Macaca mulatta: one gene and its partners. The protein of the gene in region 1 interacts with the protein of each later gene in a biochemical or structural test. Links are inferred from orthologs where the notes say so. Each region holds a gene or a part of one and is shown in the gene's direction. Other genes may lie near its edges. The genes, in order: SRPK2, MAPT and HNRNPC.

Region 1 (3,649 bases):
TTGAACAGCACAAGGGTTAGAGGTACTGACCAACCCCCTCCAATGGAGTTGAAAATCCGGATCTGGCTTCTGACTTGACTACTGGCATACTGTTGATCAAAATCCTTACTGATGACATGACCAGTTGATTAACGTGTTATATAGCATATTCTTACAATAAAGTAAGCTAGAGAAAAGAAAATGTTAAGACAATCATAAGGAAGATAAAATATACTTACTATTCATTAAGTAGATAGATCATATTCAGTAGATCATCATAAAGGTCTTCATCCTCATCATCTTCGCGTTGAGTAGGCTGAGGGGTTGGTCTTGCTGTCTCAGGTGGCAGAAAAAATATGGGTATAAGTGAACCCATGTTGTTCAAGGTTCAACTGTATGTAGATGCATTTGCTTCCATGAGCATAAATAATCTCTGAAATTATACATATTTGTTGCTTATAGAAAGGAGAGCTGGATTCCTATGCAGGTAGTCATGGGAGGGAGATTTTTACTAAATATCCTTTTGTGTTTATCAAACTTTGTACCTTGTCATCGTATTACATGTTTTTCAAATAAATAAAAGTTATATAATGAAGTATTAATAGCTTATCTTCTCTCTTGATTTTACTATATCCAGGTCCTTCAAGGGTTAGATTATCTACACAGTAAGTGCAAGATCATTCATACTGACATAAAGCCAGAAAACATCTTGATGTGTGTGGATGATGCCTATGTGAGAAGAATGGCAGCTGAGGCCACTGAGTGGCAGAAAGCAGGTGCTCCTCCTCCTTCAGGGTCTGCAGGTGAGGGAGCTGAGCTAGCTTCATTTCAGTTTGGGGGCGTTGTGAGCTTGCAAAGTTGCAGTTGTTGAAGGTATCTGAATCAAATGTTACATATAAGGAACTTTTTGGAAAAGTTTAATTGCTGGAAATAACTGCACCCTTTTCTTGAAATGGAAAATACCCCAGCTACATTATATTTTAATGTTAAAATTATTTACTTTTGTCCCCCTTTAAAAGGCCATTTAAATTTGTAGTTGCTGCTTCATCTATATTTGAACATTTTTTTCTGTTGCCCACTTCTCTGCAGAGGAGAACATAGTAACAGCTTTCCTGTAGCTGACCTTTAGTCATCAGAATATTTTTCTAGCTTCAGTTTTGTTACAGTAATTCCTGTTGTCCATTTAGCATAGCTATGTCAATCTGAGTTTTATCAACAGATTTGGAGTTAGTTTAGAAAAGGCCTGATGGTGGGGGAAGAAGACCAAGTGACCTGAGTATTGGGATATTTTTACTTCTGGGCTGGGGTCGGGGTGGTGGTGCAGTGAAGTGTGGACTGTGTTTCTCACTCTTCGACACCGTGGTCTGTGCCTTTGTGTGTTGTCATGCAAGCATGTATACTAAAGGGCTGAGGCTCCTGGGACTGCCTGGGGCTCTCTTCACATCTCCTTTACTGCCATCAGGGTGTTGTTTAGATCATGGACCCAGCCTGTCAAACTTTTGGCCCTGGTGTAGGGGTTTAATCATGTGATTCCCAGACTGTTTGCTGCATACCAACTGCAATATTTGATTTAAATTGTAGAAAGCTTGCAAAATAGATTTCAAATATAGATGTACATCTAATCTAAATTGTTCATTTCATTATATTTTAAACAAATTTGGTTTAATGACTGTGATATGTATGAATTCTTTCCCATTTTCTTATCTGTTGGTGCTTTGGGCTTGACTGTTTTTGAGATGTATTAGTATTTCATTTTAGATAAATAAGAGAAATGGCTCAGTGTGAGCAACTTCTGCTATGCCTTCAAGAGTCACTCATTTGTTTCAGTGCATAAACTTTCTCTAGATTCCTGTGATTAAGAAGCTCTGATTAATAGTTTTTGAAGTTGGATAGCCATTAAAAGACAATAATTATTTCACTTTGCAATTCGAATGACCTACGTGAAGGTATGTGTCTGTTTTCTGCTAAATGTCGATTTTGTTTCATTTTGTTTTAGTGAGTACGGCTCCACAGCAGAAACCTGTAAGTACTTACACATACTACTTTATATGCACCATGTCAAAAGAGACCATTTATTATTGAGTTGTTCAAATTATTAAAAAGTTGTGTATTTAAAGGGTGAACACATTTATAAAAGTTGTGTATCCTCAAATAGGTAAGACTTACTGTCTTGTTAATTTTTTTTTGTTTTTTTTTTTTTTTTTGATACTGAGTTTTGCTCTGCCACTCAGGCTGGAGTGCAGTGGTGCCATCTTGGCTCACTGCAACCTCCCCCTCCCGGGTTCAAACAATTCTTGTGCCTCAGCCTCCCAAGTAGCTGCGATTACAGTCACCCGCCACCACACCCAGCTAATTTTTGTATTTTTAGTAGAGATGGGGTTTCACCGTGTTGGCCAGACTGTTCTCGAACTCCTGACTTCAAGTGATCTGCCCACCTCGGCCTCCCAAAGTTCTGGGATTACAGGCGTGAGCTACCACATCCAGCCTGTCTTGTTAATTTTTCGTATCTTTGCAGAGTTGGGATAGTTAGAGCCTTTCAAAGATTGTCTTCTTTATGCATTTTCTGGACTGTCGTTGGCCAAGTTCAGTGAAATGTGAGGTGATGCAGTTGAAGTATTTTTATTTCAAAATCACTTTACATTATTTCTGATTGGCTGCTAAGTTACCTGTTTTTCTGAAGCTGTTGTTCTAATTTTTTTCCATCCAGATATTAAATAAGAAAGAGACTGATCTATTTTGTGGTCCCGTCAAAACTGTATGTCCTTGTTAGATACTGGGTGTGGTGGCTCATGCCTGTAATCCCAGCACTTTGGGAGGCCGAGGCCACTGAATCACTTGAGGTCAGGAATTCGAGACCAGCCTGGCCTACATGGTGAAACCCCATCTCTACCAAAAATGCAAAGACTAGCCGAGTGTGCTGGTGGACACCAGTAATCCTAGCTACTGAGGAGGCTGAGGCAGAAGAATCGCTTGAGCCCAGGAGGTGGAGGTTGCAGTGAGCCGAGATCCATGCCACTGCACTCCAGTCTGGGCGACAGAGCGAGACTCCGTGTCAATAATAATAATATCATCATCATCATCAGCTGGGTGTGATGGCGTGCACCTGTACTCCTAGCTACCTGAGGGGGTGAGACATGAGAATCACTTGAACTCGGGAAGTGGAGGTTGCAGTGAGCTGAGATCACACCACTGCACTCCAGCCTGGGCAACAGAACGAGACTCAGTCTCAAAGAAAAAATAAACCAAAAACAAAACAACAGCAAAACACTATGTTTACTGAGACAGCCCTTGATTTGGAATGTAAGTTCTGGAACAAGAGGAAGCTGTAATAATTACGCTTCCTGGCCTGCTGAGACGCCCGGATTGTTTCCCATAGTTTTTCCCTGGCTTGAGCTGCCTGAGTTCACTGATTGTTTGAAAGGTTGGAGTCTTTCATTGCCAGTGCTTGGCAAGTCGGGTGGCCATGATGGGAGGCAGACAAAAGCTGTGGCTTTTTCTTTTTTCCCTTTGCTGAATAGGCTTATCTCTTAGAATTCATGTTGTCTTGGCTGCTAAGAGCTTCATATGTGAGCCCCAGACACACAGTGACATACACCTGCTCAGGCACCTGCTTCATTTTTGGCATTGAGGAGGTGGGATGTTGTTACTTTGTATATAGACAGCAGCAAAT
Region 2 (3,649 bases), on another chromosome or scaffold:
CTGCAAACCTGGAAGTCCCGTCACTGTCTTCTTCCCTGCAGAGCAGTGGCTCCCGATCTAATTTTTGCTGTGCCCCAGCAGCCCCTGGCACTTTGCCCTGTAGACCACAGACCTCATGTAATGTGTGCTAAGTCCACGGAACTGCGGAAGATGATGGCAAGATGCTCTTGTGTGTGTTGTGTTCTAGGAGGTGGCCAGGTGGAAGTAAAATCTGAGAAGCTGGACTTCAAGGACAGAGTGCAGTCGAAGATCGGGTCCCTGGACAATATCACCCATGTCCCTGGCGGAGGAAATAAAAAGGTAAAGGGGGCGGGTTGGATGCTGCACTTGGGTATGGGCATTAATCAAGTCAAGTGGACAAAGACTGGTCCAGTTCCCAGAGGAGGAAAACAGAGGCTTCTGTGTTGACTGGCTGGATGTGGGCCCTCAGCAGCATCCAGTGGGTCTCGACTGCCTGTCTCAATCACCTTCACCAGGAGCTTTAGCACATTTCACAGCTGGGCTCCAACTGGAGAGGCTGACTGATCGGTCTTAGGTGCAACTCAGTTGCTGGAGTTTTTGTTTTTATTTATTTTTAAGTATTTGAGGCAGGGTCTTTGTATTAGTCTGTTCTCACACTGCTAATAAAGACATACCCAAGACTGCGTAATTTATAAAGGAAAGAGGTTTAATGGACTCACAGTTCCACATGGCTGGGGAGGCCTCAAAATCATGGTGGAAAGCAAAGGAGAAGCAAAGGCATGTCTTACATGGCAGCAGGCAAGAGAGCGTGTGCAGGGCAACTCCCATTTATAAAACCATCAGACCTCATGAGACTTATTCACTATCATGAGAACGGCATGGGAAAGACCCGCCCCCATGATTCAGTTACCTCCCACTGGGTCCCTCCCATGATACATGGAATTATGGGAACTACAATTCAAGATGAGATTTGGGTGGGGACACAGCCAGCCCGTATCATTCTCCCTCTGTCATCCAGGCTGGAGTGCATTAGCATGATCTCAGCTCACTGCAGCCTCTACCTCCCTGGGTCAGGTGATCCTCCCACCTCAGCCTCCCAAGTAGCTGGAACTACAGGTACCTGCCACTATGCCCGGCTAAATATTTTGTATTTCCTGTGGAGACGAGGTTTTGCCATGTTGCCCAGGCTGGTCTTGAACTCCTGAGGTCAAGCAATATGCCCACCTCAGCCTCCCAAGGTGCTGGGATTACAGGTGTGAGCCACAGTGCTTGGCCTAAGTGGCTGCAGTTTTTAAAGCTCCCAGGTGATTCTTTAGTGCAGTCAAAAGTGAGAACTAGCTGGGTGCGGTGGCTCATGCCTGTAATCCCAGCACCTTGGGAGGCCAAGGTGGGCAGATGGTTTAGTAGAGATGATCTCTACTAAAAATACAAAAGTTAGCTGGGTGTGGTGGTGCATGCCTGTAATCCCAGCTACTTGGGAGGCTGAGGCATGAGAATCGCTTTAACCCAGGTGGCAGAGGTTGTAGTGAGCCAAGATCATGCCACTGCACTCCAGTCTGGGGAACAGAGTGAGACTCCATCTCAAAAAAAAAAAAAAAAAAAATGAGAACCACTGTCCTAGGCCCTGATGTTTGCAGACAACTAAAAAAGGAAGTGGACATCCCCAGTCACCTGTGGCGCACCAAGAACACATGGGAACATAATCTAATTTTCTAAATGGGTTACTAGGCACTTAGAGCAAAACAATGATGCTGAAATCCTGATTTCAGGAAAGCCTCTGCCTGCCTGTTGTGGAAGTGTCCACACGAGGCTCCTGGGGCCTTGGTGTCCCCAGCAGTTTCTAGTCTCCAGGTCTTGCTGTGGGTGTCTGTGCAGTGAGGGTGTGTGTGGCGCTAAGCGAGATCTGTCTAGGGCTGGCACAGGATGCGGTCTGGTAGCTGCTGCTTCTCTTCTGCAGAAGCGCAGCCAAGCACCCTCTGGGGTTTCCTGCCCACACCCAGCCTGAAGTTCTGGGAGTGGCTCACTTTCCAACCTTCAGGGTCTCCCAGGAGCTGACTGGGGCGTGGTAGAGGGAAAAGGATTGTATTAGTCTGTTTTCATGCTGCCGATGAAGACCTATCGGATACTGGGCAATTTACAAAAGAAAGAGGTCTGATGGAGTTACAGTTCCACGTGGCTGGGGAGGCCTCACAATCATGGCGGAAGGTGAAAGGCTTGTTTCACATGGTGGCAGACAAGAGAAGAGAGCTTGTGCAGGGGAACTCCCCTTTATAAAGCCATCAGATCTCGGGAGACTTACTATCATGAGAACAGCACTATCATGAGAACATAGGGGCAGGGAAAACCCGCCCCTACGATTCAATCCTCTCCCATCGGGTCCCTCCCACAACGTGTAGGAATTGTGGGAACTATAATTCAAGATGAGATTTGGGTGGGGTCACAGCCAAACCGTATCGGGGTGTCCCAGAAAGGGTGTGGGATCTGAGACCCAGCTCGGCGTGAGGAAGTTTGCTTCTCGAGGTGGCCCAGTCGGGTGGAAGTGGCAACCAGGCTGTCTCTCCACCAGGCCACTCAGGTGGCAGCTGAGAGACCCCTGCCCTGGTCAGTCTCCGCCCTCCCCTCTTGCCACTGCATCTGGTTCTGAACAGATGGGCACCCTCATCTTGTGTTTGTGATAAATGTCTAACCATGTAGTTTTGTGAGAAGTGTTTGCCGCAGATGCTGTAAACTGTGGCCTGGGGCAGACCTCACCTCCAGACAGGCCCTGAGGCTGGCGAGGGCACTGGTCCATAGTAGCTGGCCGAGAGCTCTCAGGTTGTGCCATGCAGGACACAGGGATACTTTTCAGTGCCTGGGTCACTATCCAAAGTGAGAAAACAGCGGGGGACCAGGAGGCTGCCCGCCTCAAGGGATGTGGGGGCCGGGCCCAGTTATCTGAGGAAGCAGTCAGCTTCTCTGCTGTTTCCACCACCCAGGCCGCCCCTGGTCTAAGGCAGGGCCTCCCAGCCTTGGGGCGCTTTAAAGATACCTGGGCCTGGCCCCGTCCCCACAGTCTGACTGAGTGGGTCGGGATAGGGGCATGGGCATTGGCGATTTCCTGGGTGAAGGGAGGCCCGCTGCAGTCTCTGGAAGCTTCTCTGTGTTAGGAAGAGCTCTGGGCTTGACTCTGCTCGGAGAGTCAAGATCCGCAAATCCTCTCAGCCTCAGTTTCTCCTTCAGCAAGATGAAATGGAAATGCTGTACCTACGTCCCAGGGTGGTTGTGAGACCCCCCCCCCCCAAAAAAAACAATGTTCTGGAAGGTTCCTGGTGCGTTGCAGTCCTCTAAGAACCTGAGTTAGAGCCATGCTGAGTCTCAGCTTCTTGGCTCCTTCTGTTTCCAACTTGTCCATGTGATGGCTCAGGAAGGTGGGCAGGGCCCTGCCCCTACTCAGAAAACATCATCCTGGTCCCAGGGATCCCCGCAGCGTTAGTCCCGTTTTCCGTGTGTTGAGAAAAATTGCTAACAAGCAGTGGGGCACACCACCAGCCTCCTGGGTTCCTTTCAGTTTGGGGATTTTTGGACATTCCCAGGAATGTCAACTTTCTCTTAAAAAACACTTCAAAAAACATTAACATAAATATTTTTATCAAAGCTTGTATTAAATGGTCTTTCAAGAAAATACAGTAACAGGCCAGGCATGGTGGCT
Region 3 (3,749 bases), on another chromosome or scaffold:
GAGGCAGGAAAATCGTTTGAACCTAGGAGGCGGAGGTTGCAGTGAGCCAACCTCGCTGGAGGTCGTCACTCAGGATTTCCTTAGGCTGCCGGAAATCCGAAGTCTGGGCGAACCTTTTACTAGGCGCCTTAAGGAGCAGCGATATGCCGGGCGCGGTGGCTCAAGCCTGTAATCCCAGCACTTTGGGAGGCCGAGACGGGCGGATCACGAGGTCAGGAGATCGAGACCATCCTGGCTAACACGGTGAAACCCCGTCTCTACTAAAAAATACAAAAAAAAAACTAGCCGGGCGAGGTGGCGGGCGCCTGTAGTCCCGGCTACTCGGGAGGCTGAGGCAGGAGAATGGCGGGAACCCGGGAGGCGGAGCTTGCAGTGAGCTGAGATCCGGCCACAGCACTCCAGCCTGGGTGACAGAGCGAGACTCCGTCTCAAAAAAAAAAAAAAAAAAAAAAAAAAAAAGGAGCAGCGATAGGACACCGCGGCCGCCAATCAACCTCAACTGGAGGCAGTTGCACTCCAGCCTGGGCGACAGTGACTCTGCCTCAAAAAAAAAAAAGAAAAGAAAAGAAAAAAGAAAAAAAAAAAAAAAAGAAATGGCTCCCTTAGTAGAGCTGATGCTAATCCACTGTGTGCGCAGTTCCTATAATGTAACCAGAAGGACTGGCAGGTGACGGGGGTACGTAGGAGACAAGCCATTTTAAGAGGAGGGAAATTAAGGGAGCAGATTCGGAGGGATGGGCCAATTTTACTGGCACTTAAGATATTAGTGAGATGACTTGGGCCAGAGGCCGGGATTTTGCACTTCATTTACTTTTCATATTGGAGAGGAATAAGGAAGTCAGTTGGTTTGGATGGAATATGTGTTGTCTGAAGAAGGGTTTAATAGGCTGAGAAGCAGAGATGTCTACGAGGTAGCTGACATTCGAATCTGGACCTGAGAAAGGCTCTCGGGTTGGAAAAACGGCAGGGCTGGTTAGTTTTCTACACACTTTAACACGGCCTAGTCACCGCTGCTCCCTCCTCATTTTAAGTAAAGTTCTTTCTTTATTCATATTGCACGCCGGAGGCTTCATTTCGCGCTTTTTTTCTCCTAGGCCCGGGGCTAGGGCAAGTCCTTTGCGCCCGTCACCTAACAACGCCCCTCAAGCCCTTCCCCGCCCCCGCGCCGCCGGAAATCCGAGGTCTGAGCGAACCTTTTACTAGGCACTCTAAGGAGCAGCGATAGGACACCGCGGCCGCCAATCAGGCCTTCCAGATACCCGGATGTGAGACGGTGCGCGATACAAAGGCGAGTTTCCACCCAGAGGGTCGTCCGGTGCAATAGCCAATAAACATTCCCCAGACGATAAATGACAGGAAAATTAACCAGTTACAAACTAGTTTCTCTCACGCATGTGGAAATTCTTCTGCTTAGTCTAACCCACTGCCAATTGTGACTGGATATCATTGTGAGAAGCGGTTGAACTGTCTAATTAGGAGCGGGAGCGAAAAAACACACAGCCAATAGGAAGATTCTTAGGGATGGGGCGGGGACTAGGCCTTCGCCTCGGCGGCAGAGGAGACTCGGGGGCCATTTTGTGAAGAGACGAAGACTGAGCGGTTGTGGCCGCGCTGCCGACCTCGACCTGCAGTCGGTTTCTTCACGCCGAATCCGGGAGTAGGAGACTCAGAATCGAATCTCTTCTCCCTCCCCCCTCCTGGTAAGTGGAGAGGGCGGACGCAGGGAAGGCGCTGGGTTTTTTGGGAAGCTAGAGGGGGTGTGGGAGAGAATATGAGGGAACCCTTCCCCCTAACTAACCGGGCCCTCATTTATTCTGTTTGTTTTGGGGGATTAGGTCTGAAGCGGGAGGCGGTTTTACAGGCCTCAGCCTCTGCGTAGGTTTAACCTGGTGTCCTCTGGGCCACGATCGCCAGGGAAAATGCCCTTTTTTCGCTCTTCCTGTGTTAACGGCTGCTTTCCTTTCATTTTCTACGACCGCGAGGACTCCGGGATCCTGAAAATGAAGATCGCGATGTTCATTAATATAGTCGAAGTTAACATAGCGCCGATGCCTTCTATTACCTCGGTTCTTCTTACATGTAAAAATTGGGGGAGGGGGAGGGGGAAGGTTACCAAGTAGATGTATCGCGAGCCTTTAAATCCTGGATCGTGCCGCGTGGCCTATGAGAAAGGTTTAACAAAAGATTTAGCATTTTACTGATAACTTTTTATTTTATTCCTCTCTATGAGCAAATAATGGAGCTCGAAGTAGTTATTTTCACTTACGTTTGTAAAAGGAAATATTGTGTATAACTATATTAATAATTACAGCTGACTTTTCATCTGCAGGTTACAAAACACTTGAAATATATAAGTTAGTGGAACTTTGCTTGAGGTAGGTATTAACTCTCTTTCTCAGACAGAAACTGAGGCAAAGTGTTGATTGCTAGGGTCATAATTAAGTCAGTAGCAGAACTACTAAGGAATTTGACCACGAGGTCAGTCGAGTGGTTTTTACCTGGTTAATGGAATACCGGGTTCTAAAAGTACAATATTTGAATCTTTGCAAGAACCTGATGACGGAAACCACGAGGTAACTGGAAATTCCCAAATTGCGCTTAAGAAAAATACTACGAGACTTGAGAATTTGTTGTTAACGTAACTTCCTAAGTGTAAGATGACAAAATTTGACTTTCGGGTTATTCTGATGTTAATTTTCCCGTCCACCTAAACTTGGGCAAAAATTCACAGCTACATTTTATTAAGCAAATATTAACAGTGCTGTTATTTGCTCGGTGCTGAAATTTGATAAAAAACTTGTAAGTTAAAGTTACAGATCTTTAGTGTCACGTTCACTTATCTGGGAAATCGGTTTTTTAAATCCTCACATGAGATTTGGTTATTTTTTACAATCTGTTAATTTCACAAAAACTAAAGCTGTTAAGCACAGTTTAAACCAATTCTGCCGGGTAAGAAATTTATCTGTAAGGCAACCTATTTGATAGGAAGTAAAATAAGGGTCAAAAACATCGCGACCCCTTTAAGTTTAAATATATTATTACAGGAACTTAAAACTAAAGTTTATCATCGTGCTAAACTGTTAGAAATGAGGTAAAGGCAAAAATAGATTAATGGGGAAATCATGTAGTAAAAATGTTGGCAATGAGAAATGTCAGAAGTTAGTATTTAAGAACAGTTGATAATAGCTGAAATTGATTGACAGGCACTTTTCTTTGCCTTTGAGGTGTTAGAAATACGGGTTCCTTCCGATCAGTATGTATATCAGATCAGTATGTATATCAGCGTACCAAAAATTCTTTAATATCAAGAACTGTTTGCCACGGCATTTATATCACAATTCCAGGTGTGTTCTCAACTGGATAGGCATTTAGTAACATTTTCGTATTGGCTAGCGTATTGGCTAGGGGGAAAAGTTGAAGGATGGCCAGGTTGCAGGTTTTCTGACCTTTTTTTCCCCCCATTCGTGTGCCACTCTTGGGAATACTTGGTAGTTGATGTTCCTTCTGTGGAGAATTTAAACAGCTTACGTTTGTAATTAAATCTCTTAGAGGATTTGACATGGCATTCGACCTTGTTTTGGATGGAATGGCAGTGCGACACAAAGAATAAACTCAAATAGCTAGTTGCTCTAATTTTAAAGACTAAGGGGCAAATTATTAAAACTTAATATTAAGTGTTGAATGTGAGGTGTTGAATAGGGAGTAAGTTTGCCTAGGAGGAGAAATAGATTTTAATCCTCCTTGCTTAA

Evidence for each region.
Region 2: of the proteins of SRPK2 (region 1) and MAPT, one has a biochemical effect on the other in vitro, tested with the Homo sapiens proteins (2 studies listed by BioGRID, with this or other methods). The link is inferred for Macaca mulatta from reciprocal best matches to the Homo sapiens genes SRPK2 and MAPT.
Region 3: of the proteins of SRPK2 (region 1) and HNRNPC, one has a biochemical effect on the other in vitro, tested with the Homo sapiens proteins (2 studies listed by BioGRID and IntAct). The link is inferred for Macaca mulatta from reciprocal best matches to the Homo sapiens genes SRPK2 and HNRNPC.

The regions. Positions count from the first base shown.
Region 1 is NC_133408.1:144,729,421-144,733,069, reverse strand, and holds part of SRPK2 (SRSF protein kinase 2), read left to right. Parts: intron 1-616; coding exon 617-782; intron 783-1,975; coding exon 1,976-2,001; intron 2,002-3,649. UniProt on the Homo sapiens protein: Serine/arginine-rich protein-specific kinase which specifically phosphorylates its substrates at serine residues located in regions rich in arginine/serine dipeptides, known as RS domains and is involved in the phosphorylation of SR splicing factors and the regulation of splicing.
Region 2 is NC_133421.1:70,919,257-70,922,905, forward strand, and holds part of MAPT (microtubule-associated protein tau), read left to right. Parts: intron 1-187; coding exon 188-300; intron 301-3,649. UniProt on the Homo sapiens protein: Promotes microtubule assembly and stability, and might be involved in the establishment and maintenance of neuronal polarity.
Region 3 is NC_133412.1:94,117,316-94,121,064, reverse strand, and holds the start of HNRNPC (heterogeneous nuclear ribonucleoproteins C1/C2), read left to right. Parts: upstream 1-1,528; 5' UTR 1,529-1,700; intron 1,701-2,329; exon of another isoform or gene 2,330-2,375; intron 2,376-3,749. UniProt on the Homo sapiens protein: Binds pre-mRNA and nucleates the assembly of 40S hnRNP particles. Interacts with poly-U tracts in the 3'-UTR or 5'-UTR of mRNA and modulates the stability and the level of translation of bound mRNA molecules. Single HNRNPC tetramers bind 230-240 nucleotides.